Linked DNA regions of Arabidopsis thaliana. The protein of the gene in region 4 interacts with the protein of the main gene of each other region in a pairwise test. Each region holds a gene or a part of one and is shown on either strand. Other genes may lie near its edges. The genes, in order: AT1G16170, AT2G27290, NHL3 and AT5G11870.

Region 1 (8,008 bases), on a different chromosome or scaffold from region 4:
TCGGTAACCTTGTTCTCCACCAAGGTAGTTTCATCTTTCAAAACCTTTCCATTGTGAATCAGTAATTGCTGCCCACAAGGATAGTTGTCTTTGCTTTGTGAATCTTCAATATTCTTCTTCACCGCCATTATCTTCAAAGCAAAGTAGAAAAATTCCAGGATATAACCATGTAAGAACTCATAGACAAATACACTCACTCAACCCATCCATTTCATCGGAAAAAAAAAAACTCAAAATTCTAAATCTAGCATTTCTAGAAAGCTGTTCAACAAGTCACATGTTTCATAACCCAGATTGGTATAGCAGCATCTCTCATCTTCAGAAGATATCTAAATCTACTGATTTCCTAATACAGTATTACACGTAGGTACGGACCAAGGAAGCGGAAAAGGAGAAGGACTAACCGTGTCGGTGGGAAGAACCCTAATCTCAAAATGGCTACCCTTGAGAGTCTTAACAGTGAGCTTCATGTCGACGAATGAGACTAGAAGATATAACCGGCGGCGTCAGCAAAGTCCGGCGAGGGAGCGAAAAATAGAGAGTGACCTAAAAGAGCTTTTTGATTTTCAATCACTGTACAACAATGCCGACTTTATCAAACAGTCGCTGTCAACAACATAGCGTTTTAAAACGCGGCAAGAGCTCCACGTGCATCGCACGTGACACACCCTTCTTTCTAAAATTTACCCGGATAAAACATTAATCAATCCAGTGCAATTTTTTTAATTTCCGGTTTACTACCTTACCAGTATAATAATCATAACAATGATCGGTACGTTTAACATATGATAATTTAATCAGAATTCATTCATACCAGCCTTGCGCCACCGTTTTGACCAAACAAAACACAAACGCGAATCGGGCAAAACGCAATTGTGGAGAAGTCGAGACAGATGAAAATTACGAGAAAGGAATTTATTTATATCATCTTCATATTACAGAAGGGCCAACAAAGGCCATTCGTGATTAAGCACACGATGTTCTATTATAGTAGAAAGATCGAATATTTTTTTACAAATTGAAGATTCATGAAAAGTTATTCAGAATCTCAAGTAGATGCATTAGCTCAGAACTCACGGTCGGGGAAGAGAATGGGAGCAACAAGGGACCAGATGAAGAGACCAGCAGTGGCCCAGCTGGTCACAACACGGACCCACACTGAAGGCCACCCGACATCCACCAGCTTACCACTTTCACCAACTGAAGTTGACCAGCCGGTTAGGAGCATTGCAGAGTACATGCTCGCAAGGGAGAAGATGATGTGGAAGAATGCGTATGAGTATGAAACTGGTTTTTTATTCTCTTTCTCTTCCTTCTCTTCTGCTTTCCCGTCTATCGGAAGCAGAGGCTTCTCTGAAAATTTTCATTGAAAGGAAATACGTTATGATACTTAGAAGCAACTCTCAAACACTCACACAACAAGGTTTCAATATAGGGATTTAGAATATATGTTTCAGTTCAGGTTTGATTCGAGTTTCCGAATGAATCCTTATCTTGCAATATAAGGAGGCAAAGTATAGGAGAAGGTTTTTTTTGTCAGAAACATACCTGCGCGAGGAGAATCAGGAGGGGAGAGAAGAGTAGTGGAAGAACCAGCACGAACAGCAGAATAAACAACCGAGAGAACAGTTGTGAGTAAGCCAATGGTCATTGTGCCTGTTGAAACAGCTTTAGAGTGATTGTGGAGACCATTGCACTCGTAATCCCGGGGTTCACTTGCAAGTCCACTGTAACAGAGGTACATGCAGTACAGAGATATAACCGATGCTGGTAAAATGCTTCCACCGACCTGCAAAAGAATAGGTTAATTTGACTTCAGTGAGCCTGAAATTGGGAATCAAATAAGATCTCAGATAAGAGAAATATAAGGTTTCAGTCAAAACTTACAGTAGGATGCAAAACTACAATGGCAAAGACGAATACAAATATCAAAGTCATGATAATGAAGAAGGTGTTGAGTCCACAATCATGTCCAGATGGAGTAAACCAGTGGAAGAGAAACCCAGAGAAGACGAATGTTGCCAAGTAACATACAAGAGAAACAACGAGCAAAGCAGCATACCTATATATAAAAGTCAAGTACTTAGATTAGTAGTGGGATAATGAAGTCACATGATTTAATTGCAAATATATTTACTAACCAGAACTGCTCGTCGTAGCCAACCCATGTGTCATTCCATCCATGAACAAAATCCAAAAGAAGTACAACTTGAACAAGCAGGAAAAATCCAGCACCAAACTTTGACATCGACTCTGCAAGATGTAAAATTGATTCCCATTAGTTCCAAGTTAATCGATTCACTAATCACTTTGCAATGATAAACAGAAACTTACCATAGAAACTGATGATTTCATTTGGAAGGAAGAACATAAAGATGACTAAAATGCACCAACAGATTATTTTCATCATCCAACCACCATGGTGTATACCATCACGAGGGTCTTTCTGATTTTTCACACCGATCATCATAACCGATAGAATAGAGAAAAACAAGAAATTCCCTAAGCTGACACGCAACACAGCATCAGTCTCAAACCATTCACGATCAGGTGTCTTGTGAAAATGGTTAATCCCTGCACACAATGTCAATGATTAGTTGCATACACCAAAATAATCTCACGAGAAGTATAATAACAAAAAAACTTACAAGGGAGCTTCTCCATGAGAGGAGCAGCAACTTCACGGAGAATCCATGAAACGATTAAGGAAAGTGCAAAGAGACCACAGTAAGCAATTCTAGCAGAACGTCTGCTGATCCCAGAAACCACAGTACGGCAAGCATCGCAGGCACAAGCAGCACAACACGATGCGAGACAAGAAGCTGCAAACATCTTCTTTCTCCTCTCAGATTAAAGGTTGGATTCAATATTCAGCTGCTAGTATCAACCAAAACGCAAACACAAATCATCAAAACACAAATCATCAAACAAACAAAAAAAACTAATTTCGGATGGAGACGGTAAGAAAAGCAGCTTTTTAAAGACCGAATCGAAAATTAATCAATTTTGCTCAGAGATAAACAGAATTATTTGGAATCAATTGAAATTGGTTAAAATAAGCTGAAATTTATCCCCAAATTCGAGATGAAATCATAGCTCCCGATCTAAAGCTTCACCCGAGAAACCTAGCTTTAGGGATTGAATTTGACCTCTGGAACAAAAGAAGGAAAACGAAAATCGCTTGAGAAAGAGAGAATCAAAATACCTTGCGATCGATCAAAAACCTTGAGCTATCCTCTCCTTGAAAAGTAAAACAACTCGTTGTTTCTTTATTATCTCGCTCCTGATTTCGGACTTTTGACCAACTTACAAAGGAACTAGTAAACCATCAATACCAAGTTTTCATGTTTGGCCCACTAATGGCCCAAATTATTTTAATTTCTCCTTCTGTTTATCATGCATGGGCTTTTGATTAAGATAGACCTCTACTAAAACCTTGCAAGTCTCCTTACAAAGAAAAAGAAAAAAGTTATAAAAAAAAAACTCTAGGCTATTGGGGGTAAATAGTTTTGGTTTGGATGCTAAATGCTAACCGGCTAAAGTGATTCACGGCAACGGCAACTCAGTCTATTAGGATTTCAGTGCAACTAAAACAATGTATTTTAGACTTTTAGTTTAGTTGGAAGCAAACCAAAATATTGAACACCTCATACTGTCATACAAATACAATATACAAAAGTACTAAACATTATCGTGATTACTAGAACATGAGTTGTCTTCTCGTTAATGATTAAAAAAGTTTATCTTAATACGTATTCGTAAATGCCCTCTGGAAGCTGCAAGAGTCAGATCATAGTCCTAGGTAAATGTCATCACTCATCATCGGATTCTAACAACATGCCCATCATCTTCAAAACACAAAGGAGTGGAAGCTAACAAACAACGCATCATCATTTTTTTGTCCTCTTTATATATCTTCTTTCCTATTTTTTATCTTTTTATTGTTTTGTATATAAAATCCCTAAATTCCCGTTTTATGTAACGGACATAATAAGCCGCGTACGGCGTATCCGGCAAATCGGCCCAGCTCGAGCCATCATCAATCTACGGAGGAGATCCATCTCTCTCTCTCTCTCCATATCGCAACAACACTGCTGAAGATTTCGGGGGTTGTCGACGGAGCTGGAATCTAGCTTTTTCTTCTCCAGATCTCTAAACCGATTCTCACCGGTTCGTTTTCTAATAATCTTTCACCTACTTCGGATCTGTTTCCCTCGATTATCCAATGTGCATCGATCGCGAGTTGTTGTTGTTGTGTATTGTGATTGATGATTGATTGAGAATGACGTTATTGTTGGCAATTTGTTGCTTTCATTTTCATCTTTCGTATACGATCCAAGCTCTTTTGTAATTATAATTATGACTAATGTCGTTTCCACAACCAATCAAAACAGCGATATGTGTCTCGAATTCTTGTTTCTCATTGACATTTATGATGGTTTATGATGGAAAAGTGATCTCCCAAATGTTACATTCAATCTGATTGTGATGATCTCCTTTTCATAGCATGTTTATGTTTCTTGTAAAATTGTGTTAAAACGACTTGTGTGTCAATTTTTGCAGGTTAATTGGTATTATAAAGCCATGGTTCTTGATGGGCTTGTATCTTCACCGTCAAGGAGACAACAATGTCTAAAGAAGCAGTGGGACGAGTTGGGTAGCTGGTCGACTCTTATTCAGAGGCATCAATATCTCTTAACAGCTTTGGCTCTTTTGGCTTTCCTCTGTACTGTTTATCTTTACTTTGCAGTCACTTTAGGCGCTAGGCACTCGTCCTGCTATGGCTTGACCGGGAAAGACAAGGCAATGTGTCAATTACAACTTGTTCAAGCTCTCTCCAAAGGGAAACTTAAATTCTTCTAGACTGTTTATCTATCGGTGAAAGTTTGAAACCCCCACATTTATTGTTCTTGTACTAAAACATTCTTTTTCTTCTTTATTCTATAATGCAATTTGTGTGTATTATTACATGGTGAAATAAAACCAGAGATTCATAATTGAAAGATAACTTTATTTCATCAGATGAGATGAGAGTATACATGTGCACTGTTTTGAGTCGGATCGTCACCTCCGGTTGTATGTCAAGCCTCTATTAGGCGCTCTTATTAGAGCTCATGCGTTTCTGTATATTTGGGAATTCTTACCAGCGGAATGATGATAGCAGCGGGATATAACTTCTACTACCTACACAGGTCGAGACTCTGAAACTGAAACCATAATGCTTGAAGTCAAACATTTTCTGACACATCGTTGACTCCTAGACAAGTAAGTTTTTCCAGTCATCAAATAATACATTCAAGTCACACCAAAAGTCCACACTTCATTTTCAAAAGTACATGTTAACTTCGAATTTCAAATACACTTTGTGGCTAAAGATGGATGACTTGCTGCCGAGTGATCTTATTGATTTTCTTGTCACCATATACATTACATAAAGGCTGAAATATTCTTGTACACGCTTCCAGAATCATTCTCTGCTGATCTCCATGACTTGGTCCTCTTCATCATCATTTTCAATATGGGCCTCTAAATCTTCAGGTGATGAACGGATCCTCTCCAGCTCGAGTGAAGCCTCTCTCATGTTTGGTCTTTTAATCCCTTTCCGGCTAAGACACTTTCGAGCGAGTTTCGCCACTGCCATCAGTTGGTCAAGCTTGCTTTCTTCTTTGATCCGAATATCAATGATGTCAATCACTCTGTTTTCTTTCATGGCCTCGAGGAAATGAGTTGCCAACCCCCTTCCTTCCTCAGAACGAATTCGGGACAACGGTTTTTCTCCAGTTATGAGCTCTACCAGGACAACCCCGAAACTATAAACATCGCTCTTGTCAGTATATTGGCTTGATAGGAAGTACTCTGGATCCATGTACCCAAAAGTTCCTGCAACCATTGTTGTCAGGTGAGTTTGATCAATGGTTACCGATCTTGATGTTCCGAAATCAGAAACCTTAGCTCCGTATTTTTCATCCAATAGGATATTGGTAGTCTTGATATCTCTGTGGTATATTGGAAATGATGCAGCTGAGTGCATGTATGTTAGAGCTCCCGCGATCTCTATGGCTATGCGAAGACGCACTTCCCAAGTCATCGCATAATCGTCGGATTCATCATGAAGGCGCTTGAACATATCTCCATTGGGAATATATTCGTAAACCAAGATCGGAACCTCTGTTTCCAAGCAACATCCTATTAGTTTCACAATATTCCTATGGTTAATCTGTGAAAGAAGGATGATCTCATTGATGAACTTTTCGAGCTTATCTTCATCGACAACTTTTGATCTTTTAACCGCAATGATCTTGCCATCCACCATCATCCCCTTATACACAGTTCCTTGACTGCCTTTCCCAAGCACCCTCTTCACGCTAAAGTTATCGGTGGCTTTCTTCAACTCTTCTGAGCTAAATAGCCTTGACATGTCTACATTACCGTCATTTGTAGTAGTTAGTTGTTGTTTTAACAACAAGCCTCCATTACGTTTGAAGAACTTCCTGCTACTGATGATCCTCCTTCTCTTTTTTATAAATATAATCAACCCAAGCGTCCCAACAACTAAGAACAATAGTCCCATTAAACCTAAAAGAACCCCTGCAATAACAAGAAAAAACATAAATAACACTGTTTTCTGCTCTACCTTAAAGGATGGTAGATGCAAGGTGCCATTGGAACTCACCTTGTAGCACGAGGGGTTTGGCCGGCTTGATTATCTTGGGCTTGGGATCGCATCTATAGCCTCCAGGCACGTTCACACAAGTGCCTTCTTCACAGATATTAGGTCCTTTGCAATCATCATTGTCTGCATATATATCAATTATCAGTATTAATGATCTGATTTATTCTCAACGAAAAAAGAAGAGGAAACAAACACTTACCAATGCAACCTCCTCTAAGGTATGGATTCCCTGTGAAGCCAAGGGAGCAATAGCAGTTCCTATAACTCATTTCGGAAAAGTAACCATACTCGCAAAGGCAACTATCACCGGATAAGTAAGATCCCGAATATGTCAGATTTATACAACCCAAGGGGTTCCTAAAGCGTGAATCCGTAGTAGCAAAGTACCAACCTAGCTCTACCACCACGTAGCCACCAGCATGGAACTGTTCTGGTATAGTAACATTTGACGGGGAATACCTCTTGCTAGACAAGAAGGCAACCTTGCATCCATCTCCTCCTGAGCTCTCTATATTGACACCTACTGCTTGTGGACGTTCCACCGGTATCCTCGCCTGGCAACATTTGTAACCGTCACATAACAAGTTTGTTACTTCTTGACTACTCTTGCTATCTTTGCAGCTAGATTCACAACCCAAGATCTCTGATTCTATATCCGTCATCAACGCCTTAGTACCGCAACCCACAGCCACGAGGCGGTTCTCGTCGGTGATGAAATATGGGCTGCCCTTGCCCGTGACGTTTAAATCCGGTAGCGACTTTTGGGGTACTTGACTAGTATTACTTGAACAACCTAACGAAGTCACAGGACCTTTGATGTGAACCACTCCGTATTGTTCATTATTACCTTCTGGAAGAGAGATGTTCACCACTTCCCTGTTGATTCTCGACAGGAATGGAACAGTTGTGCCGGACGACCCGGAAGTGGTGGCGTTGCAGACAACCTCGTACCAACCGTTGAGATAACAATCCTTCCCACCGATTCCAAATGGGAACGGAATCGAGATTCCTCCACAGGTTCTGTTACACGAAGTTGAAGAATTCTTACTGTTTGGAGGTGGCGGTGGTGTTGCTGCTGATGAGCCATTCATGAGCTGCAGAGTTAAGACAGAAGCTACAAGACATACAAACCGGTAAGTTTTAGTCTTCATAATTCTTGTATTTTTACTTTGGTCCTTGATCTGATCAATCTCAATCAGCTTTTCTACATGTTAAGGACCTGCCCGATCTGATGTTAAGGTAAAAGTCAATAGAGGTTTAGAAAGAAGCGTGAAGCAAGTTACAAAGCACCTAAAAATTAGTAAACACTACTAAGACTATGGTCAATGTCAATGC
Region 2 (8,089 bases), on a different chromosome or scaffold from region 4:
TATGCTGCTTCTCAATCTACATCAACACAACAAAATCACTTATCAAGAAGATAAAATTGAATGGGTACATAAGAAACAGAGTCAGAATGATGAGGTAATTATATGTTTATAACCATACCTTTTTAAGAGACTTGGTCTTTGAAGCTTGTCGAGAAATCTCCTTCTCCACATCGTTTTCTTCATCATCCTCACCAAATATTGAAGCAGTCCGAAGTAGAGGTCGAGATGATGATTGCTTTTTCTGTGACGGAGCCCTAATTTGCAGTCCGTACTTCTTAATCTTTACTGTTGCTTGCTTTACACTCTCCTTCTCCTCTTCCTTCAACCTCTCCTTGGCGTCCGTAACAGCAGTGATGATCGCATTCACAGCCTTGTCTTTCACTAGAAAATTGCTCTTCTTCCCAACAAATTCAAAGACTTTCTCCAAGAACCCTAATGGATCTGAAGGATCAAAACTTGCATTAAACGGCAATGTCGAGGGTCTAACCTTCTCCACATCCATGGACTCCGTCTTCTTCTCCGTTTCCCTCAACCTCTCCTTTGCGGTAGTAACAGCATCGGTGATCTCTTTCTCAGCCGTGTCTTTCCTCAGAAAGTTACTCTCTTTCCCAATAAAGTCAAGGACATTCTCTAAAAACCCTAATGGGTTTGAAGGATTAAAACTTGCACTAAAAGGTAACGTCGAGAGTCTCGCCTCCTCCATCTCAGAATCAATCGCCAATAGGTTCGTTTATAGCTATAGATTTTTTGCACTAGTCAGGAATAAAAAATCAGAATGAATTTCTTTGGTCGTCAGTGGCTAAAAAACAATGCTTGGGTCTTTCCATTTAATTCTCTGTCAAATCCCAATTTCTAAGGTTTCCATTTTCCTCAAATTCTAGCTTTCAAAGTTTCCTTTTTCCTCAATTTTCTAACTTTTACTTTTTCCTATATACCATTCAATTTGATCCACTAGGACATTTAAACTGACCCTGACAATGTGCATCTCAACGTAGGGGATTTTTCTTTGTTCGTTCTCTTCTTTATTAACCATCAAACCTATTGCATTTGTAATGGAAGTAGACCCTGTAATATAAGAAGCGTTATCTTGAAAAGTTACTTATAAAAAAGAGGGTGGTCGATAATCAGAAGAAGACAAGTTCACCAAGATTTAACTATTGGACTGAAATCAGCCAAGTTGCACATACTCTTCAATTTTTGCCTTCTTACGGGCCAGGAACCTCTCTTTAGCGGCAGCGATCGCATCCTCTCTTCTCTTCTGGTCGTTAATGGCTTTCGGCACTTCTTTTGCTGCCTCTTTGATTGATGACTTTCTCTCTTCAGTGCCATCTGAACCCATCTCCTTTTCAGAAACTGCTTGCTCTGCTTCTAGTGGCTCCAAACTTTTGCTACGACTTGATCCAAATTCTCCCGAGTCAGGAGATACTTCCTTCTCCGGTGATTTTCGTTTCTTCTCTACCCTTGTTACTTCTTTTCTCAGCTCCTCGAGCTTCTCTGCCTTTCTTTGTTCCTCGAGCTTCTCTGCCTTTCTTTGTTCCTCGAGCTTCTCTGCCTCTTTAGCTTCGACTTCTCGAGCTCCAAAAGCGACATTTTTTCCAATGTTGAAGTAGAAATCACTCAAATCTTTCTTCTTAGTAACCTAACAGAAGATGAAAACAAAGGAAAAGAGCTGACATGAGTATTAATAGCTATAAAAACAAATCACTTTAATTTTACCAAAGCTATATGCTATATATCTCCCCATTGCTAATACAGAGACATGAAAATGGTTTCTAGACCCACCCATCATGTCCTAAAAGCCACCACATGCAAACTACCTTGACACAGTTCCCAAACCAAAGCTACTTAAGACAGAAACGTAAAAGGACAAAGATAGGACTTCAGCTATCCTAGCAAGTACTAGTTTAATAGACGAGAGAGATAGAAACACAAACATGAAATAAAATGAACAAGGAAACAGAACTTACATCATCTCTTTCCTCACGAAGTTCACGCAATCTTTCTTCTGCCAGCCATTTCTTTTGTTCCTCAAGTTTCCTTTTATAAGCGCCAGTAACAAACTTTTCTTTATCCGAAAAAAGATGTTCGTCTTTCTCCCTCTCTTTCGCAAGCTTTCTCTCATAAACTATCTCATGTTCTTTCTCTCTACGTTCTGCCTGTTTCATCAAATTCTGTATATACCTTGGCTGCAATTAGAAAAAGAAAACTAAATGAAACATAAGCAATCCAATAAGTCATTCTGAAACCTAATTAAAGTGCCCCAACTACAGAGAATGTAACACCATAAGAAACTACTAAAACTGACGCATGTAGAGGCTCAGAAACTTCACCTCTACTTAACTAAAACAAAGTAACTAAGCTTTACACTTTTTGGTAACTATATGTAGCCATGGGTTATAGGCTGGTAGTTGTTAGGGTATTGCAGGATATCAAGATTTTGGTGGTTTCTAAGGGTAATAAGAAAATCCAGCTAAGTTATGGCTTCCTATACTTCAATCATATGATAAACCAAGCCCGACACAGATCATAGATTCCTCTTAAGAACATGGAAACATAGATTTTGATTCCCTAAGCTACAGAAGCTTCAAGTCTTAAGCTCTCTAAGAGATAAACATTACCTTGCGTTCTTCACGATCTTGCATTCGAGGAAGAACAGCTTTCTGTTTCATATCATCATAAACTTCATCATATGAAAAAGCAGAAGGATCCTCCTCTAAGGCTTTCTTATGCTGCTCCTCAATCTAAAACACACAATCACTTATCAAGCAGATCAAATTGAAGGAAATATAAGAAACAAGAACTCGAGTCAGTGGAGGAAAAAAGCTTACTTCTTTATGAGCTTTGGTCTTTGTTGCTTGACGAGAAATCTCCTTCTCGACGTCGTGATCTTCTTCTTCATCAAATATTGAAGCGGGTCGAAGTGGAGGTCGAGATGATGATTGTTTTTTCTGGGAAGGAGCTCTGATTTGCAATCCGTACTTCTTCATCTTCGATTTCTATTCCAGGAGCAACAAACTTCTGCAAAATCGATTGAAAATTAGCGCAATTCCTGCGAAGTCCCAGATTCTGGAAAAACACTAATCAAACCCAAGCATGAAATAGGTAGATTTCGCTGTAGAATCGATTAGGGTTACAATTCACAAAAGTTGATTGGTGTGATTTTCCCAGGATTAAGGAATTTAGTAATCCATGGAAGAAAGTGAAAGAGGAAGGGAGGAGATAAAAAGATCCAATTAACTATAGATGGTATAGATGATTACGGCCCAATTGTTACGGCCCAATGTTTTCATATTTTGATGGGCCGAGATAATGAGGTTCTAGAGTACAAGTTAAAATGCATCACCAAAACGATCGAGGTCATATGCTCTGGATCACAGAGATCATTCCCAACCATTTGACAACTACTTCTCCCACTTACCAAATGTCTAGAGGTTAGTGAATCGTGAAGTCGTAATTTCCAACCAACCACATATTAAATAGACAAGTCTAAAACTATATCACAACTTGGATTCTGCCACTCTTTGGTTCTGTATCTTTCTAACTCATCATCATATTCAGATATGCTTCAATCTTTTTTGTACATACAAGGTAGAGAAGTGAGGATTGTACAGGATTATGTATGTTGATTATCAAGTAATATATAGAACATCTACATTATAATACCTCCAAAGTAAGCTACTTGTCATCATCCTTCTCCTTGTCCACTTTCTTCCCAATCCAATTGGCTACAATAGGAGTCAAAGCCACTGTAGGCGGAAACCTTATCGGAGATGCAGCTTTATGCGCTGCGTAAGCCAAAGCAAAGGCTCCTACTTTCTCTCCTGTCTCATTCGTCGAAATCCCAACCTTAAACACAAAACATCAAAATCAGCTTTACTCAACCCAAGATCAAGAAAACATAAACTTAGTATGATCAAGAAGTGAAAGTAGTAACCTTTAGAAGAAGAGCTTGAACATCAACACCGGAAGTCACAAGGACATAGCAGAGTGAGAAGGAAATGAGAGAAAGAGTAATAGATGTAGCGAGATAAGCACCACCATACTTTGCAAGTAACTCTTTAGCCTCATCTGTTTTTGATTTCTTCTTCTTATTGTCTCCATCACTTCCTTCATCATCCTTAGAGCTTAATATCTAATCACAAGTCCATCCAAAACACCATTTTACTACACAAAAACTTCCATAGATTCTACAACTTCCAAAAATGCTCCAAACTAACCAATCACATATGCTCACTTGTTGATAAAAAAAAACACCATTTTAGCATAGTTAAAAGCTTACATAACTTCTACAACTACCACGAAAACGATCATATCTACTCACATAATCATCTAAACACCATTTTAGTACCCTTAGAAGCTTCCATAGCTTCAACAACTACAAAATTGCTCACATAATCATACAAAACACCATTTTAGTTACACTTAAAGCTTCAATAGCTTCTACTAATACCAAAATTGCTCTGAATTAGCCTATCATTCAGCTCAGAAACAATCATATGTCCTCACATGTTCATCCAAAAACACTATTTTACTTACACTTAAAGCTTCCATAGCGATAGAATCATCAATTTTAGATTACGAATTAAAACGAGAAATTGCGCAATCGAATTGATTTTACCTTCCATAGACCAACTTCAAGGCCATATTTCTTGGTAACTTCTTCGGCGGAAGGAGGAGGAGGAGAAGAAGACGGCGGCGAAATGTTCTTATCAATGTCCTCCGCCTTCTCACGGACGGCTCTGCATCTGAATTTCTTCGAGGAAGCTGAAACTGAAGAGTGGAAGAATCGGATTTGAAGGTTTCTGGTGTTCAACAAGGAAGACGAAGGAGGAATTTGCAGAAGCATCATCGCCATTGTTTTTTTCAGCCACCAAAAAAAACAGAAAGCAAATCTTTTCACCTTATTATTTTTATTTATTGTATGACACACAATTATTTTTTATTTTTTTCTGAAGGTATACCATTTGTTGTATTAGAGGTTCCAGAGTAATCTTTTACATATATAAAACTTTAATATAGTATAAAAAATCCATAAGTAAGAAAAATATTTTTAGACTATTTTATAAATATAAAAAACTACAAACAACATTTGTTTGATTCTCAGGCGTTTATATTTTGAACTGAAACTTTTGTATATCTAAACATAGTCTAAAATAATTTATTTTACTTATGGATTTTGTATAATTTATTACAATTGTATATAACTAAGAATATCACTTTGCAATCTCTAATACAACAAACAGCAAAACTTAAGGAAATGGTGGTATTATTCACATTTACTATATGTGAAATTTGTTGTCTCTATTTTCACGGAACTATCATCTCTTTCCCAAAGCTTTCACCCAGATTATAAAGGTTTACTATCCGAAAATATTCTCTTTTCCATAAAAATTTTGGTTTGTACACAAGTTTGAATAATTGTTAAGACTAGCTCAACATGCCATATTGCCATAGACCAAATACTATATTTATTTATGTATAAATAATATGTATGTCGTAACTAGCTTTAGTTCCTAGCTATTAATACAGTCCAAAAGAAAGAAAATAAGATAGCCAAGAAAACAGTAGTGGCCAGAACATTCTTCATCAATCTCTGGCTATCATCTTTCTTGATTTTGAACGGGTTCGGGAATCTCCAGCTGGAGTCGGTTCCGGCAACGTTCTTGATCCTGAACAAAGCGTAACAATTCATTGTTTCCGTTGATTCTTTTTTTATACCACATTTTGACCTCTTACTCGATGACTCGCTTGATATTGTTTCTTGATGAGTTGGATTAGTTGGTCGAAACGCTTGGCTAGCTTTCAACGCTTCTTCGTCGAGCTTTATTATATCATCGTTCAGAATCTCGGCGTAACAATCATCATCGGTATCGGCCTGATCCTGCATCGCAATAGAAAGAGATCAACTTCAGTTACAAACTCTAAACTCTACCAGTACAAGAAAACTAAGGATGTTCAGCCCAAGTGTTGGTTTAGTCTATTGAGTTATAATATTAGTAGCCAAAATAAAAACCAAACATTGGATATATTGGTTTGTTACGTTTTAAGTTTAGAATCTGCTTTAGTAAAATAACAACTTTAGTGAAATCTAATGTACTATGAATCCGTTATAGTATGGTACTATGGTGTTGGTTTGGTTTTAGTTTCTTAATCGGTTCTGTTTTCGGAACTATATTGAATTTAATGTGGTTTCGATTAAGATTGGAGCGGATAATTTTACCAGTATTAAACATCGTTAAAAGACACATTCCTCAAAAGCAAGCTGACCTCAACAACATTTGATGATTCTGCGATGTCACCATTTGGTATCTGATGCTCAGATTCATAGTAGGATTTGTCCTCCTTCTCCAAACCACCTCTTTGGCCAACGTAGCCATCGTCTTGCACAACACCATCCTCCATTTTTTGGGTCGAACTAGCCCGAAAATCAGCATTTTTTCTTAACCGGCACACCACTAATGCATCCTGTGAAATCCAAATTTCAATATATCTCAAAACATTAAAACTCAACCTATTCAAAATGAAAGTTTTAAGAACCTGTGGGGCTCCATGGATGCAGTATTCATGCATAATCCACTCCGTTCTCTCGCCACGAGGAGCCCGACCGATATGAAATACAAGCGTTCTCTTGGTTCCAACAACTTGGTTCCCGGATTTAACACTCCGCTCTTTACCGGTCGCTTTCCAATATCCTAGCTGTGTGGCTCGCCGGCTTTGTGACCCGTGCGGGTACTTCCTCCCCCTCGCGCAGAAGTAAAACCACTCGTTCTCCGATTTCAGTTTCGATTCCTCTGTTTTATAGGCACAAACATTCAAATTAGTGAACCAAAGTAAACATAAAGAGAAAGAAAACCGAAGTAAAACCTGGCAAGTCCCACGGCTCGAACTTGTAAATCTCGACCTCAGCAATCACAGCAACAGAGTTCTCATCACCATCGATTTTACGACGAAGATAGTACGAGATAAGTTCAACATCAGTAGGAGAGAATCTAAAACCAGGGAACAAAGCCGACACCGCGATCGACATCTCAGCTTCTTTAGACATTGTTTGATCTTTTTGGCTCAGGAACTCGAAAATACTTTGCTTTAGATGAAGAAACATGCCTTATAAATGGCAAGTGTGCAGCTACTTTGCTTCGGGTAAAGGTTTTGTGTTTTTTGATATTTGGCGGCTTCAGAGGGAAAAAGGATGACGTGGACAATGACTGTAAGAATTGGGCGAATAACAGAAGAGTGTAATGAGATAGTAAAGGACAAAAATGATAACGTGGTTATGTATTATTGGACAGAACTCAAACCCAGCTCTGAAGTTCTCTCATTGATGCTTAATAAATCGTCTCTTCATTTTTAAACACGTGTTTCGATATCTTCCTCGGTGTTTGTACCCCGCATGCCAATAAGTTTTTGTTTTTGTTTTTTTGGGTGTAATAACTTATCAAAATGAATTTTTGTTTTTGACGGCAATCAAAATGAATTTAAATCACTTTGTAATTATTTTATTATCTTGCGCCAAGATATTTTCTTTTGTGTAATACAAGTTTTATATGAATCTATTTTATTATTTTTTTGTCGATGAATCTATTTTATTAAATACATTATATTTTTTTATTGCAATTTCTAATCTATTACTTTATTAGCTTACGTCATCATTAACGTTTTAGTTATTTTTAAAATATATAATAAAATCAATAAAATCATATCCTAACTAAACTATATATCCAAATTTGTATCCGTGTAACTTTCTCTAAACTAGTTTTATGTCCTCTAAGCTCATATTGGAACTTATTTGCTTCGAAAGATGGGTGATTAATCTAAACGTGATGGATATAAATTTTAGTGTTCACGTAAGATGATTATGGTTACGGTTATTACGGGTACGGTTTATTAACCATCAGTTACAGTTATAAAATTTTTTAACCTTAACTTTAACCACTATCTATGATTAAAATGATTACGGTTACAACAATTATGATTATATATGGTTATTGTTATTTGATGATTACAATATAGTTAATATTGAAGGCGAAATCTTAAGAATTACCCAAAATATTGTATTGCTTTTAATAAGATGAAAAAGTATATTGTACAC
Region 3 (7,318 bases), 1.9 Mb from region 4:
GATATTAGTTACCAAAAAAAAAAATAGTTACTCCAACATTAATTACTCCATATTACTCTAATATCTTTACCAATCACACCCATAAGTATTCGTAATAATTCATTACCAAAACATTATACTTACAGTACCATACTTTCTATACTTTATCGTTATTAAAATAACTTTTCTACAAAGACTATATAGAAAAGATATCTTTATCTTTTTATATCTTTTCTACAAGTACTTTTATCTTTATATACACTTCTTCTATATAAAGGTCACGGAGAGTATTTTAAGATTCTCACTTTCTCTCTACCACCAAACCTCCCACACCACCGTCACCGGAGCTATGACCTCAAAAGACTGTGGCTCTCACGACAGCCACTCATCATGCAACCGTAAAATAGTGATCTGGACGATATCAATAATCCTCCTCTTAATCCTTGTCGTAATTCTCCTAGTTTGGGCAATCCTTCAACCATCGAAACCACGCTTCGTCCTCCAAGACGCCACCGTCTTCAACTTCAACGTCTCCGGCAATCCACCGAACCTCCTCACCTCAAATTTCCAATTCACTCTCTCCTCTCGTAACCCTAACGACAAGATCGGTATCTACTACGACCGTCTTGACGTCTACGCTTCTTACCGGAGCCAACAGATCACTTTGCCGAGTCCCATGCTTACCACTTATCAAGGACACAAAGAAGTCAACGTTTGGTCTCCTTTCGTCGGTGGATACTCCGTTCCTGTGGCTCCGTACAACGCTTTCTATCTCGATCAGGACCATTCAAGTGGCGCGATCATGTTGATGCTTCATCTCGACGGTCGAGTTCGTTGGAAAGTCGGATCCTTCATCACCGGAAAATATCATCTCCACGTTAGATGTCATGCGCTTATCAACTTCGGGAGTAGTGCTGCCGGAGTTATCGTCGGAAAGTACATGCTCACCGAAACTTGTAGTGTTAGTGTTTGACAAATTAAGAGGTACTTAACGGTGACGGTGGTATCGGTCACGGATTTTTTCATTATTAATAACGTAATATATTTTATATATAATCTCGTAGTAGTTAAGTTTTATAACTTTTTTTTTCCTACGTCATAGAGAAATAATATCAAGAATTGCAATCGGTTGCGTTATTGTTATGACGAGCTGTAAAAGATTCAAAGGAAACACTAAAATATAGTAAAAGACAAAAAAAAAGGTTTATTTTTATTTCAGTTGGTAACAATTTATGATGGATGATTCAATTAAAAACTGTTTTCTATATAATGATAATAATGTATATTCTCTTGTTTCATTGACTATGATTTTGTGCTGATCCAGAGTGACGACAATTGAATTTTAGAAATATCTGATCGGAACGGTAACCATTTGTACGGTGTCATTATCTATAGTATCTTGTCTTTTTTTCTTTTTCTAAAACAGAATCAAGACCCATTCTCATATAGTTTTTCAATTTCCCATTAAAGTTTAGATCTTAAAGTTGGCTCTTTACAACAGTTCAGTACATTCAAAGGAAAAACTCTTGATCAAATCTATATTCCTAATATATTGGTTAGTTTGTCTCCTAAATATTCTTGGATCTTGAAATGATAAAAAGTAGAATCATGTTGCTTATTTTACAAGAAATAGGGTATTTTTCTCCAACGTTCGAATCCCACGAATATTCTATATTATGTATTTTTTGGGTTAATAATGAAGTCATCTTATAACCAACTGCTTCGACTAATTTTGCCTCTTTTGTTAAGAGATTTGTAGGCGTAATTCTCAATCTGGAATCCACTTTCTCCAAGAGAGAAAACTTGCGAAATGATTCATTACATGTGCTATTGTTATTATATTCGATATGTATATGTATTTCAGAAAGAAGTCCAATGTGAGAACATTCAAAATGTACATAAGAGCGAGGTCCAATTTGAGCATAACGTACGCAATTTGTTCGTTAGATTCGTCACCAACAAATATTTGATGTGTTTGTGAACGATTTTTTATGCAATTTTTTAATCTTAGTCCCATTTATCTACTAACTCCCACGTGTTTTGTTTCCTTTGTACATATACACGCTGCCGAATCCAGTTTGTATATAAACATAATTTTAATTGAAAATCTTCGAAACATTGTACTGAAAATTTGCCATACGTAATCTAGGTAATTGATCAGCATGATGAGAAACTTTACGCCCATCAATCCATGAATATACAATCCTAGTTTGGAACCGAAGTTATACTGTAAAAAAGCAGATGATAAAAACACACAATTGTCTACATAACCTTCCCTTTTTGCCTTTTTGAAGTCATACATTTTATTAAGCGTGTAAATGATCAAGACTTGAATATATACATAAAGATTCGATTTTGTTCATCTAGAGAAATTCATAACCAAAACATAGAATAAACATTCATAACCAAAGGATAACGTAAGTAAAATGAATCATGGAGTTGTATCATTGGTCCACTGGTTAACACGATACAGTTTCGACTTTCGAGTCGTATTGTATTCCAGATTTTAACAATGATTAACAACACAAAATTATGGTGACAACCACCAAATTAGAATTAGTAATAGATTACATGAAAAGTATACCCTATATGTTACTTCCTTAGATATATGTCCATTTAAACTTTAGTGGACATCTATTCAACGCAATTTCTCAATAATTTATTCGGATGAATATCGGAATTGAGTAGATAGGGATCGGTCGTCGGTTCCTCCATTTTCAAAACCCTAAGAACAACCAAAGTCTTCATCATTTATTTGTCCAATTCCAATGATCTATTTCGTCCAAACGGCTAAGATTGAAGGAGTCTTCGTGAAATATTTGTTGTCTAATTTAGTTTAATGTTTTATCACCACACACATTGACACCGCATTAAACTCTAACAAGTTTTTCAAACACGTTTGTTCATCACCAGGTTTTTCTTTAAAATTATTGTGTATTACTTATCATATACAATGAAAATTATTGTTATACCGTATAACACATAAAAATTTCTTAAACTACATTGACTACTTTAATAAATAAATAAAACACATTACATCTCATATTATAAGAATACTTTTTTTAGTTGTTACATTTGTTTTTATAAATCCTCCATAGTTGTTTTAAAGTTTAATATGATTGAGTTGCGATCTAGTATTATTATTCTTTATTAAATATGCTTGACCTTTCTCATTGAAGAAAGATGTAAACATTTGAAAGCATGGCTTCACCTAATCTTCCTTTCAATTACAGGTCACATCATCCAACTCTAAACACCAACCTCCCTTAGTTTTCCTTGCTTTTAGCATTATAACATTAACAAGTCTTTGCAATGTTTAATTTTCTTTGAATTTGAGAAATCTTTCACATTAAACATTTTCATTAATTGATAATTAATTAAATAACCTTTATCAGTAGAACTGTTCTCATAGTTATAAAATAAACATTTGGAAAACCCCACCTCAGTTTCAACTTGCAACCTATAGATCAAAGTTATTTCATTTCATCATGTTATATATATAATGTCGAAATTCTTGACCGGGACTGGTTTGTCTTTTTCTAACTTTGTATAGGCTTATTGATATTTTGGCCACATTTTCTATTTTTGTTCTCAAAAGTCTTTCGTCAAGTTTAAGAAACAATGGCTATATTAGAGCAGTCGCTTTTGGGGAAGTTTCTCGGAAGCTTAGTTACATTGTAAAAATGACTATTCACAATTCACAAACTAACTACCGCACTAAGTATCATCACATTCTCACATGTCTTATATAATAAAAGAATATATAAATAAATATCTACATATGGATATTCTTGTATGCGATCGGCACTAACCTCATTAATCACCAAATCATGTATATATGGATTCAAGAAATAATCTCATTAAGCTTAACCAAAGTATACATAGTCAAATTGAAGAAGAAACCATATAGTAAAATTTAAGAAACAATCTTTAATGTATATCAAACTGTTAATCCTAAATATCTAATAACAATCTCGCAAGTAACCTCTACTTAAATCAAATTTTCATCGAACAATATTAAACCGACGCGTCACCTTTGACTTTGAAAAAACAAAACCGCGTCAAATTAAATCGTTTTATCTAATACACGTTATCTCTACAGTGTATATATATTACGGCCTCTTCTTCTTCACTTCAAATCATATTTACTTTTTCAAAATCTTATCACAAACCAAAAAAAACTTTCTTTCAAAATCGTTCTCTGAGGCATTTTAACGAACAGATGGCGGACTTAAACGGTGCGTATTACGGACCATCGATTCCACCGCCGAAGAAAGTCTCTCACAGCCACGGCAGACGCGGCGGTGGATGCGGTTGTTTAGGTGACTGTCTTGGCTGCTGCGGCTGCTGTATCTTAAGCGTCATCTTCAACATCCTCATAACCATAGCCGTCTTATTAGGCATAGCTGCTCTAATCATCTGGCTCATTTTCAGACCCAACGCTATCAAATTCCACGTCACCGACGCTAAACTCACCGAATTCACACTCGACCCAACCAACAACCTCCGATACAATCTCGATCTCAATTTCACAATCCGTAACCCTAACCGCCGGATCGGTGTTTACTATGATGAAATCGAAGTCAGAGGATACTACGGTGATCAGCGATTCGGTATGAGTAACAACATCTCGAAGTTTTACCAGGGACATAAGAACACGACGGTGGTTGGAACTAAACTCGTGGGACAGCAATTGGTGCTGCTTGACGGCGGAGAGAGGAAGGATTTGAACGAGGATGTGAATTCTCAGATCTATAGGATCGATGCCAAGCTGAGACTTAAGATTAGGTTTAAGTTTGGGTTGATCAAGTCGTGGAGGTTCAAGCCCAAGATCAAGTGCGATCTCAAGGTTCCTCTTACCTCTAATTCAACCAGCGGGTTTGTTTTTCAGCCGACCAAGTGTGACGTTGACTTTTGATTGCTAGTCAAGAGTCAATGCTATTATAGTCTTCTTCGAGTTCATCATATTACACTTGTTTATTGATTCTTATTTTAGATTGTTTTGCTTTATTATCTTCCATACATATCGTTGGAGAGAGATATTTTTCTTATGTAATGTTTTATTGTATGGTTCCATGTAAATAAATAATCACATTTTGTTTAATGCTAATAACTATACAATTAGCATTATGATTGTCTCATGAAGCATTGATCCAAGTATCAAAAATGCGGAATCTTCTGCTTTCCCACTGATCCATTTTGTGTTTGTAGAATGAGAACAAGCAACATTGTACCCATGGAGGATTTCTTGGCACTTTCTCCATCTCTTCACCTCCCAACAATCTATTCAGCTTCTTGACTAGAGCCTCTTCATCAGATTCGTCACACCCGAAAAACTTTTCCTGTAAAAAGATATACAGATATAAGTATTAGACAATCCTTCAATGAACACTAATAATTAATCGTGTTTTACTTACCCCTTCATCAGCATATAGAGAAGCATGGATTCTGGCGGTTGCATCTTCTAGTATAGCTACCAATTTGATATTTCCGTTGATATCACGGAGTTTTCTGACGTCTCGGGGATACACTTGTATGAACCGAACAACACACCTGAATTTAGCAGTCACCTGCATAATAAGCATCAGTAAAACATCAATTCAAGAAAGTTTTCACTATACTCTTTTCCTACAACTTATGATAAATCCAAGGTTTTTGGATACATTACATTGTGATAGGTCAGGATGTCCATCAGAGAAACAAATGGAGCATCGTCATGGGCAACCCCTAGAAAAGATTAAACCATAAGTATTATATTAAACGTTATGTCAAATTTCCACAATTCCAAACAATTAGCTGGTTATTACCTGTGATTTCAGAATGTGAACGACTAATGCAACGCGCGATTGGGTTCCATCTCGGTGAAAACTTCTCCCCACACATTCTGAAATGGTAAGAAAGTGTGTTTTAAACTGAAGAACAAACGGACGAAGCAGAACATCAACTCACAGGATAAGAAAAGGTGTCAGCAGAAACCTTTGAGGACTAAAGGCTTCCATCTCTCTGCTCATTGTGTACTGCATCTTTGTAGAGGGAGTAAAAGTGGCGTTCCATAATCCCATATTTACTTGAAAGAAAAGGTTCAGAAGCTTCACGTGTTGACCAGGTTGAAGACAGTGAATGGCCTGCTTCTCACTAACTCTATCTACTATGATCCTCAAAACGGAACCAAAAGTAGGAAACTTACGTAACATGTATGTAGGCAACATCTCGGGTTCTACACATAAAGGAAGCCTTTCTGACCTATTATGATTGCAAACAAAAACAGAGTGAGATGAGTAACACGTTTGGGATATATGACCAAAATCTAGTAAATGAATATAAGACGCATAAGAGAAACTTATTTTTACTCGTTGTATTTTGGTTGAGGAAATTCAGACTTACTTAACCAAGATGTTGCAGGGTGGCATCTCAGTTCCATCCCAAACAAAGAGGTACCATCTATCTTTATAGACCTTGGAAATGTGAACAATCTTCAAAGGAAACAAACAATGAGAAACAATGTCAAAGACATAGCAGACCATAAAAGACACTTACAGTTCCATAAATACAAATGAACATGAAAAGTAAAACCAAAACATATTCTTTTAAGGAATGATCAATCTACCTGGCAAGATAGGTTTGAACATTCGCCTTCTTTGATATCTTTCAGGGATGTGAAACAGCATGACCCTATCATAAAACAAAACAAAACAAAACCTCACAACAATCGCAACTTACCACCAAGACATAGAACACATTAGAGATAAAGTACGAAGCAAACATTTGCATATAGAGATTTCAGTGAATAAGTAGAATTCATTAGAAATGATATTGCATCATAATTACCATCTTCAAACTTGTACGTGATCATCCATTCTCTCAGATTCGATAAGAAGTTCTTATCCTGTTCTCTCATCAGGAATTTAGGTGAGGACTGGTAAGGTATAGAATCCACGCTATGTTTCCCATTGAATAAAGCAAAAGACGAAGAGGTTGTTTCATTGCAGAGAGCTGTGATTTTCCGGTTAATCAGCACAATCTGAGTTTAAACCCAGAAGAAAACTGTTTAACAACAAAATCAGCAAAAGCCACGAAGAATTGATCTTCTCATATCAGAGGAATAGTGTGTCAACCTTTACACGTGAAAGTAAGATGATATCTCCGATCGATTCAACACGAGGAAGGTCTCGAATGGTACGAGCGACGAACTTAACGGGAAGGCCAGATCCCGAATACCATGGATCAACGATTTTGAGCGTACATGAACAATCTGCGACAAATTTCGAGCAGTCGGAAGTATGAAAAAACGAAGCTATGATGAAATGAAATAGCAAAAAAGGATTTTGGGAGAGGATCA
Region 4 (8,413 bases):
CTCTATTGCGAAGGAACCAAGGTTCAAGATATCATGGAAACAGTCGAGAAACGACCCTTTTACTTATATAGCAAACCTCAGATCACGAGAAACCTTGAGGCTTATAAAGAGGCTTTGGAAGGAGTGAGATCTGTTATTGGTTACGCTATTAAAGCTAATAACAATCTCAAGATTTTGGAGCATTTGAGGAGTTTGGGCTGTGGTGCTGTGTTGGTTAGTGGAAATGAGCTCAGGCTTGCTCTTCTTGCTGGTTTCGATCCCACAAAGTACGATTCTTTATCCCCAATAATAAAGTTTGAATATTTTTTTATTTGGTCTCATGTTGATGTGTAGTTTTTGACCATGTCTTCGGTGTGGATGAAATGAATAGGTGTATTTTCAATGGAAATGGAAAGTCTTTGGAAGATTTAGTTCTAGCTGCTCAAGAAGGTGTTTTCGTAAATGTTGATAGTGAGTTTGACTTGAATAACATTGTGGAAGCTTCAAGAATTTCTGGTAAGCAGGTCAATGTGTTGTTGCGTATCAATCCTGATGTTGATCCTCAGGTATGGTTAAATTTTCAATCTTTTAGCAGCATGTCCTAGAATCTATTCTTTAGCTTGGATATGAATGAGCTTTTTCTGTTTGTTACCATTTTAGGTGCATCCATATGTAGCTACTGGGAACAAGAACTCGAAGTTTGGTATTAGGAACGAGAAGCTTCAATGGTTTCTGGATGAAGTGAAGGCACATCCCAAAGAGCTGAAGCTTGTTGGAGCTCATTGTCATCTTGGTTCTACCATTACAAAGGTAACTCCGACTATAGTTCCTTTTAATTTGTGTTTTAATGTAATCAATCTCTTAAATTTTAACTCTTGAGTCTTGAGCTTTGCATATTCACGTATGTTCTGTTTATTTCAGGTGGATATATTCAGAGATGCTGCGGTTCTCATGATTGAATACATTGATGAAATCCGGCGTCAAGGCTTTGAGGTTAGCTACTTGAACATTGGTGGTGGTTTAGGGATAGATTATTATCATGCCGGCGCTGTCCTTCCTACACCCATGGATCTTATCAACACCGTAAGAACAACAGCTCAAAACTCTTTTCTTTATCTTGATCTCAAAAGTACTGGAATGGTAGAATCTTTAGAATCCTGGATGTGTTTCATAGGTAAGAGAGCTGGTTCTTTCACGAGACCTGAATCTAATAATCGAGCCAGGGAGATCACTGATTGCAAACACATGTTGTTTCGTCAACCATGTAACTGGTGTGAAGACGAATGGAACTAAAAACTTCATAGTGATTGATGGAAGTATGGCTGAGCTTATCCGTCCCAGTCTTTATGATGCCTATCAGGTAAAACAAATATACTTTTCACAACAGCATCTGCAGATTCTAGTCCCTTTGAACTATAGCTAAACATCCTCTTGTTTTTGTTTTTTAACGCAAAAGCATATTGAGTTGGTCTCTCCTACACCGCCTGAAGCAGAGGTTACCAAATTCGATGTAGTGGGTCCTGTTTGTGAATCTGCTGATTTCTTGGGCAAAGACAGAGAGCTTCCCACTCCTCCACAGGTATTATAAGGATCTGATTATGTTTGGCAGCTCAAGTAATATGGAATCTAATTAGTTTCTTGTATACGTTACAGGGAGCTGGTCTGGTGGTTCATGACGCTGGTGCATACTGTATGAGTATGGCTTCCACTTACAATCTCAAGATGCGTCCCCCGGAATACTGGGTAACAATACTGTTTCTTATTATCGTTTTCTGCGGAAATTTAGCGGAGGGTCAAGATCCTGAGAGAAAGTGATTGATTTATATTCTTCTTTTTGCAGGTTGAAGAAGATGGGTCGATCACTAAGATCAGGCATGCTGAGACATTCGATGACCATTTACGTTTCTTTGAAGGACTATGAACTCCGAGATTTACTCATCATTGTTGCTATTTTAGATGAATTGTATGATTACGTTTCTATAATGCTATTGCTGTCTTGGATTTTTCCACATTCTGTGCTATGATTTAAAGTCCTCAATAAAGTGATCATATGAATAAGAAACAGGTCACAAGTCAAGACCGAAAATAAAAGGTGTATTTGTGAGTTATGATTATTCTTTTGGTTTCTTTTTAGTTACTACATGTAAAATTGTCCATTGTCCAAACACATATATAAGACTTGAATAAGTAACCTTAAAGCCAAAGCTGTTTCAGAACCAGAAACCAAGATTACACCAAGCTAACGATGTTTTAGTGGGATCATGGGTCAAAATCTATCTAGCAACCAAACAAAATTTGTAATACAAGAATCCAGAAGCATCTAAATACAAGAGAAAAAAAACTTGAGGAGTCAGTAATGAATGTCAAGGACGGCCTTTGAGATCACCTAATCTGTTTTAGTTTCCATCATACAAAAGAAAAGTGAAAAATCCTCTCAGGTTTCAAGGAACTCAAAGATCAAAGAGAAAGAGTCAGTGAAAAAACGTTACCTATTAAACCGAATGCTTCTATACAAAAGCATAATGGTAAGTAAAAGCGTAGCCACGGCAGAACACAAATGCTCCAGTGAATGCCCACTGATGATATATCGATTTGCATTGTATATTTTGTTGTCTGCAAGTCCTTCAATCTTGGCAATAGTGTACGCCGCTGCATTCATGATAAGCAGATATCAGAAGACCGTGGATTCTAATAAGAAAACCGCAAATGTGGTTTTGAGTTAAAAACCTGTTGCCCAGAGCCAGAATCTAGAGTGTGTATATTTGGGAGGTAACAAAACCGCCATGACGGGAATCACCAGACACGGTATCAACTGGAACGTCATGCATAACCGGAGATCATTAAACACTCTGCCATCAACTAAGACACATATAATTTCAATCCGAAACCTGACTAAAACCATGAACATATATGTATACAGAGGAGGTAATGCTTTCTTGGTTTTAATGTTACCTGGCGTAAGCAACACTGAGACATGATATAAATAGAAGCAAGATGAGGCAACTAAGTCCCACTTTCTCCCCCGCTCTCTCAACCAAAAAACTAGAGAAAAGCGACGAATACGCAATCAATATCTGCAATTTACCGTCATTAATCAACAAACAGCTATTCATAAACCAACCATCAAAAATGATGAGCAAAAACAACTTTCCATTCAATAAAACCAAAAACCACAACTCTACACCCGAAAAATCTCTAAAGCTTCTTTCCATTAGCTATAAGAGTTGTGTTCACTTCACTATGTGCTTGTAGAACCAACCAATCCAAGAAAAACCATGAAGTCTAATCTAAGCTTTTTTACATAGCTATAAGATGATTCTTCAACTTTTTGTATTCACAATGTGCTTGTCAATATATACAATTACCGCATCACTAATCAAGAAGCAATGAATGCATAACTGAAAGAAGATTCATGTTCCGAAGAAAAGTAAAGTGAGAAAAACGAACAGGCAAAGTGTCCCAGACGATTCTGTTGTCATCAGGTTTGAGATGATAAAAAGCAGAACCAAAAGCCAAGCTTGCAATGCCTGCGTAGAACAGTGTCCATCCCCAGATCTCACCATTTAAACTGCATTACAACAACTCAAATTGTTAAACTAACTCAAAATAAAACTCAAAAAAGGGAAAGAGAATGATACCTTATGTTGAAGAAGCTTCCTCCAATGCAAAGAACAAAACCAAGAACTCCAACGATAAGAAAGGGAAAGTTGGTCATCACATTCAATGTATTAGGCACTCCTGTTCATCATCAAACCCACACAAAACACCTGTCTCTCGTTATTACACATGCACAGAGACAGAGAGAGATAAAAAAAAAAGAAGAGAGAGTGTGATATGATGATGATACCCATGAAATTGCGTTTATCGGCGAAGATATGATGGCGAAATGAATCGAGAGGAACTTTGGGAGTGATGAACATGATGATTGACCAACAGAGGAACGATCCCACAACCAAAATTCGTTTCCTTTTCCATCTCCCTATCTGTTGATTCGTCAACCACACCATTAAAAGTTCTCTCTATAAAGGTGAAGACTTTAAAGGTTTGTATTGTTTGAAGTGGATAAATCAGTTATCTCTGTTGTGTCTGATTGATTAATCTTCTTCCAGTTTAAGAAAGAAAAGGGAAGACAGATTTATTGAGAGTCGCTTTTTTCGATTAGAACAACGTGCGGCGGAATCTCTTTTTTTCTTTTTCCTTGAGTCTGACGGGTACGACGACGACGATCGATCTCTAATGTTGTCGTAGTTGACGAGGACCGCTCTAAACGTCTACGTTTTGTTTCTATTCTATTTTATTTGTAAAGTAACCCCTTACATTTTTATATCTTATATATATCCCACCCCATGTTTCTGAAAGTAATATTTTCACTCCTATATATATGTACAACGTTTCAAAACTTGGCGGGAGTGGTTTTAGTTAACTGTTTCCTGGTTAGTGTTTCTAGGAGAAGGAAAAGTTAACTAAGAAAATTGCTAAATTATATATCCTTGATGTGTTGTTGTAGTTCTTAGAAGTAACCCACATAGATAGCCATGTATGAAACAAAAACAAAAATGGGATTAACATGAGACAAAGTTCAAAAGAGAATGAACTAAGAGTCTAAATGCTCTTTATGCTACAAAGTATTCAAGAAAACGAAAGAGTATAAGAGAAAGATGGGGAAGAAGATGAAACAATCATATGTATTCTCAAATTACAAACATATATTCTAAAGCTCAAATTGGGAACGTAAATATATCAATGTTGTTTTAAGCCATCATGTCCTCTCTGAATCATCCATTGTGCCATGCTTGAATACAAGTTTGATGTTGTTCATTTCTTTGAATAATATTGGCAGGTTGAGTGTTTTTCAGTTTGTGTTGGATCAAATTGTCTTTTATTTGGATTTCGTCGTAAACATAATCAGCAGAACACGTCATTCATGTCATACCTCTTAATCTTTTATGTGTTTGGTAATAAATCTGCATAATCATGACATGAAACAACATTCCACAATTCTATATAGCATTCTAGCTATAACCAATGAAAAATAGATCATCCTATATATAGTAGTACTAAACAAAGATTATTCTAAACCAACTTAACTTGTAACATCAAATCTAATCAAGTCACATAATCTTGTATAATTTCATTTTTCAAAGAAAATATTCAAAAGTCTTCAAAACGTTTTTTTTATTCCAATAATCCATAACATGCATGTTCAATTTGTAAAAAACAGAAGGTTCCTTTTTAAGAAAAAGACACTTCTCTAGTTCTCTACGGCATCGTTGTACTATCCTCCAACCGGAGATGACGTCATCATTTACCGGCCTAATACTCTTCGAATGTTTGGGGTTTAGTTTAACAAATCAAAAACTATCGAGGTTACTAATGAAATATTAATAAAGTATGAGGGCATTTAAATGAAATATTTCATTGCTTATGTAGACTATAGTCGTCTGTCATTCATTTCGAGCAAATATTTTACTCTTTTATTTCGAAGAGAGAGAGAGAAGAAGACGGAAGCTAGAAGAAATCGTTTTTGATCGGAGGTACTTTTTTCCGACGAATATACTCTCTCTAGGGTTTTCTTTTTTCTCTCTCTCCCTCTCCGTTTCTTCTTCTTAGCTCTTCAATCTCAGCTCGAATTTCTGGGCTACTGAAGTTTAATCTAGGTGTGCGCTTCGTTGAAGAAATTTTGAAATTTGCAGAGAAATTTGCGGAGAAAGCGGAAAGATTAGATTTATCCATCGTTTATCCCAGTAAAAAGCTTTGATTTTTCCACATGTCTTTTTTCCCCCCTTTTTTCGTATTAAAAGCCCTAGATATATATATCAAAATTGAAAATTATCTGAAATCGATTTCGTGGGTTTCAGTTCCGGTTCGGTTCTCTTTCTTAAAATATTGATTTCTGTCACTTTCCGCGATGAAAAGTTTTCGAATTTTGCTTCTTTTGGCTCCAAAGTTTTTATCTTTCAAATATTTTAAATCTGGGTACTTTTTTGTTTTGGTTCCTTCTTTGTGAATTGTATCTAGGGCTTTGCTCCTTTTCTAATCCAAGATCTGTTTTCGTTCTCAGATAGTGTATGAGCTAGTTGTTTGTAATTTGACGGCTCTCGGGAACTGATCTATCTCCGGTGTCTCTGCTTTGTCGGTAGCTACAGGAGTGAAGAGAGTTTCTACAAGGTAAATTTGAAAACTTTATCATTGAACCTTGTACTTGTAGATTTATAGTAGTGTTTGGGTATGAATGTGAATAATGGTCAGATATTGAAATTGTGGAGTAGTTGCATTAGGCTCTGAGTTCTGTTGTCTAATTCAGTTACAAGTTGATGTTAATAGGGTTTTAATGGAAGATGATGACTCTCCTTCTTCTCGGGATTTGGATGCACAGAACCCTTATGATCGATTGCTTGCTCTAGATACAAGTACCGTAGATCCAAATTGTAACTTGGATTCGGTTTCTGCCATTTATCTAGCGATGAAGAGCTCTAAGCTGGAATGTGTTGACGAGCGTGGTCAAGATTCCCTTATTACTTCGGTATGCATGGAGGATGAAGAGGATGAGGAGCTCGATGAGTTTGATCCTTATCTGTTTATCAAGAACTTGCCGAACCTGTCTTCTGTTGTCCCAACTTTCAGGCCGGTCTTGCTTCCTAAACAAACCCGAAGCTGTCCTCCTATTTCTCTTGTCCTAGACCTTGATGGTAAGGCTACTTTTCAGTTGATTCGTTTGTTTAAAATTGTATCTCTCTTTGCAGGTTTTAATGGCACACAAATCTTAGTTTTTTCTCACCAGGTTTTAAGGCTACTATAACATATATGTTTTATTTTGCAGAAACTCTTGTGCACTCGACTCTAGAGCCGTGTGGTGAGGTAGATTTCACATTCCCAGTGAATTTTAATGAAGAAGAGCATATGGTGTATGTGCGATGCCGTCCTCACCTCAAAGAGTTTATGGAGAGAGTGTCCCGACTTTTTGAGATCATTATATTTACAGCTAGCCAAAGTATTTATGCTGAGCAACTTCTGAACGTGCTTGACCCTAAGAGAAAGCTCTTTCGCCATAGAGTGTACCGTGACTCGTGTGTTTTCTTTGATGGTAACTACCTCAAGGATTTGTCAGTCCTCGGGCGTGATTTATCTCGTGTTATCATTGTTGATAACTCCCCACAGGTATTATACTCTTATTATCCTTCTACACAGTGAGTAAACACGTTTAGTTCTCCATTCTTATGCTTTATACCTAAACCGATCGATAGATGCTTTTATCAGCTATAATTGTAGGATACACTTCTAGTATAGGAAAACTATAATAACTATGAAAGGTAGTATGGGCGAATCCAGTAGAAGTTCTTTGTTTGCAAAAGCTATCTCATTGGTTTTGTAGGGTTGATGAAAAGAAGTTGATTCCAGAACCGCCATTAAGAATTCTCTAAGCTCGATCTAAGGCTGTTGCACAATCTCATTGGTGTTTTTCTTTTTCTGCAATGTTTTAGGCATTTGGTTTCCAAGTGGAAAATGGAGTGCCAATAGAGAGCTGGTTTAATGACCCATCAGATAAAGAACTCCTTCACTTGCTGCCATTTCTTGAAAGCCTAATTGGAGTTGAAGATGTAAGGCCAATGATCGCCAAGAAATTCAATCTAAGGGAGAAGATTGATGCAGCTGTAGCCGCACCTGAATATCCTGCTGAGGCGGGAGATCCTTTCGAAAGGTAAAGTCTATCGCCAAAACACTTTTAAAGGAAGAATCTGGCACAAGAGCAGAGGTTGGAGAAGATATATAAGTATATCAATGTTGTTTTCTTATTAGTTTAAATTAAGAACTTGGTATACAGAGAAAGACAGGATATGCCTGTAAAAACAGTTTAAGGCACAATAACTGTATAATTGTTTTCTCGTTTATTTACTAGTACACATAGATTAACATTTCAAGTTTCAAATTGGCTTTTTTTTTTGCCTAAATCCTTTGAAATCAGACAATAAAAACAGAACATAAAGTGAGCTTAAAGTTTTTTTTAGTTTTATTTAAGAAAAGTCCAACGAAAAATTTGCATATGAATCCCAATCAAAAATCAGTAGCATAGTGCGTGATCCAATAAATTCATTTTGTACAGAATCCAAGAATAATTTGTTTCCTCCAATCACCAAACGCCATTCTATTCGACCATAAGTCTTATTTATCTCAGTTTTCATGGCCGTATAAAAATATTCCTAGGCACCAAGCTATAGGTGCGTAACGTTTCTAATATACGATTGGTTTTGGTATTATTGTTGGTTCCACGAACGGATAATTATGAAACTTGTTTGGACATTTAAAAACTAAATAGTAGCTTCGTGTAATAGTCAAAGCTATTCTTACCAAGTAAGTGGAGGAAGCTTGACGAAGAAGAGTAGTGCGCATTTTAACCGAATCTACCTTTCGAAGATGTCGGCGCAGGTTAAGCTCT

What was found.
Region 1: the proteins of AT5G11870 (region 4) and AT1G16170 interact in a protein complementation assay, tested with the Arabidopsis thaliana proteins (one large-scale study listed by BioGRID).
Region 2: the proteins of AT5G11870 (region 4) and AT2G27290 interact in a protein complementation assay, tested with the Arabidopsis thaliana proteins (one large-scale study listed by BioGRID).
Region 3: the proteins of AT5G11870 (region 4) and NHL3 interact in a protein complementation assay, tested with the Arabidopsis thaliana proteins (one large-scale study listed by BioGRID).

The regions. Positions count from the first base shown.
Region 1 is NC_003070.9:5,535,729-5,543,736, reverse strand, and holds AT1G16170 (ephrin-A3 protein), read left to right. Parts: upstream 1-3,734; 5' UTR 3,735-4,170; intron 4,171-4,563; 5' UTR 4,564-4,584; coding exon 4,585-4,863; 3' UTR 4,864-5,071; downstream 5,072-8,008. Other genes in the region: RAD23A (Rad23 UV excision repair protein family), read right to left, coding at 1-131, 405-470; AT1G16180 (Serinc-domain containing serine and sphingolipid biosynthesis protein), read right to left, coding at 1,067-1,353, 1,549-1,789, 1,888-2,062, 2,142-2,253, 2,335-2,574, 2,649-2,832; WAKL5 (wall associated kinase-like 5), read right to left, coding at 5,468-6,588, 6,674-6,796, 6,873-7,824.
Region 2 is NC_003071.7:11,674,911-11,682,999, forward strand, and holds AT2G27290 (FAM210B-like protein, putative (DUF1279)), read right to left. Parts: upstream 5,010-8,089; 5' UTR 4,856-5,009; coding exon 4,619-4,855; intron 4,133-4,618; coding exon 3,935-4,132; intron 3,847-3,934; coding exon 3,676-3,846; 3' UTR 3,395-3,675; downstream 1-3,394. Other genes in the region: AT2G27280 (coiled-coil protein (DUF2040)), read right to left, coding at 1-16, 119-703; AT2G27285 (nuclear speckle splicing regulatory-like protein (DUF2040)), read right to left, coding at 1,169-1,639, 1,968-2,186, 2,619-2,741, 2,829-2,987; NTL8 (NTM1-like 8), read right to left, coding at 5,507-5,881, 6,268-6,465, 6,538-6,791, 6,865-7,045.
Region 3 is NC_003076.8:1,928,595-1,935,912, reverse strand, and holds NHL3 (NDR1/HIN1-like 3), read left to right. Parts: upstream 1-4,144; 5' UTR 4,145-4,201; coding exon 4,202-4,897; 3' UTR 4,898-5,117; downstream 5,118-7,318. Other genes in the region: AT5G06330 (Late embryogenesis abundant (LEA) hydroxyproline-rich glycoprotein family), read left to right, coding at 329-952; AtPOT1b (Nucleic acid-binding, OB-fold-like protein), read right to left, coding at 5,118-5,321, 5,397-5,549, 5,648-5,706, 5,787-5,863, 5,956-6,222, 6,364-6,452, 6,587-6,651, 6,808-7,000 and 1 more. UniProt on the Arabidopsis thaliana protein: Confers resistance to Pseudomonas syringae pv. tomato DC3000 (Pst DC3000).
Region 4 is NC_003076.8:3,821,293-3,829,705, reverse strand, and holds AT5G11870 (Alkaline phytoceramidase (aPHC)), read right to left. Parts: upstream 4,287-8,413; 5' UTR 3,987-4,286; coding exon 3,827-3,986; intron 3,718-3,826; coding exon 3,618-3,717; intron 3,548-3,617; coding exon 3,427-3,547; intron 3,054-3,426; coding exon 2,932-3,053; intron 2,829-2,931; coding exon 2,707-2,828; intron 2,629-2,706; coding exon 2,469-2,628; coding exon of another isoform or gene 2,465-2,468; exon of another isoform or gene 2,371-2,464; coding exon 2,343-2,370; 3' UTR 2,133-2,342; downstream 1-2,132. Other genes in the region: AT5G11880 (Pyridoxal-dependent decarboxylase family protein), read left to right, coding at 1-266, 371-545, 640-789, 901-1,062, 1,154-1,339, 1,436-1,558, 1,633-1,722, 1,820-1,900; SSP5 (SCP1-like small phosphatase 5), read left to right, coding at 6,311-6,668, 6,800-7,137, 7,461-7,682.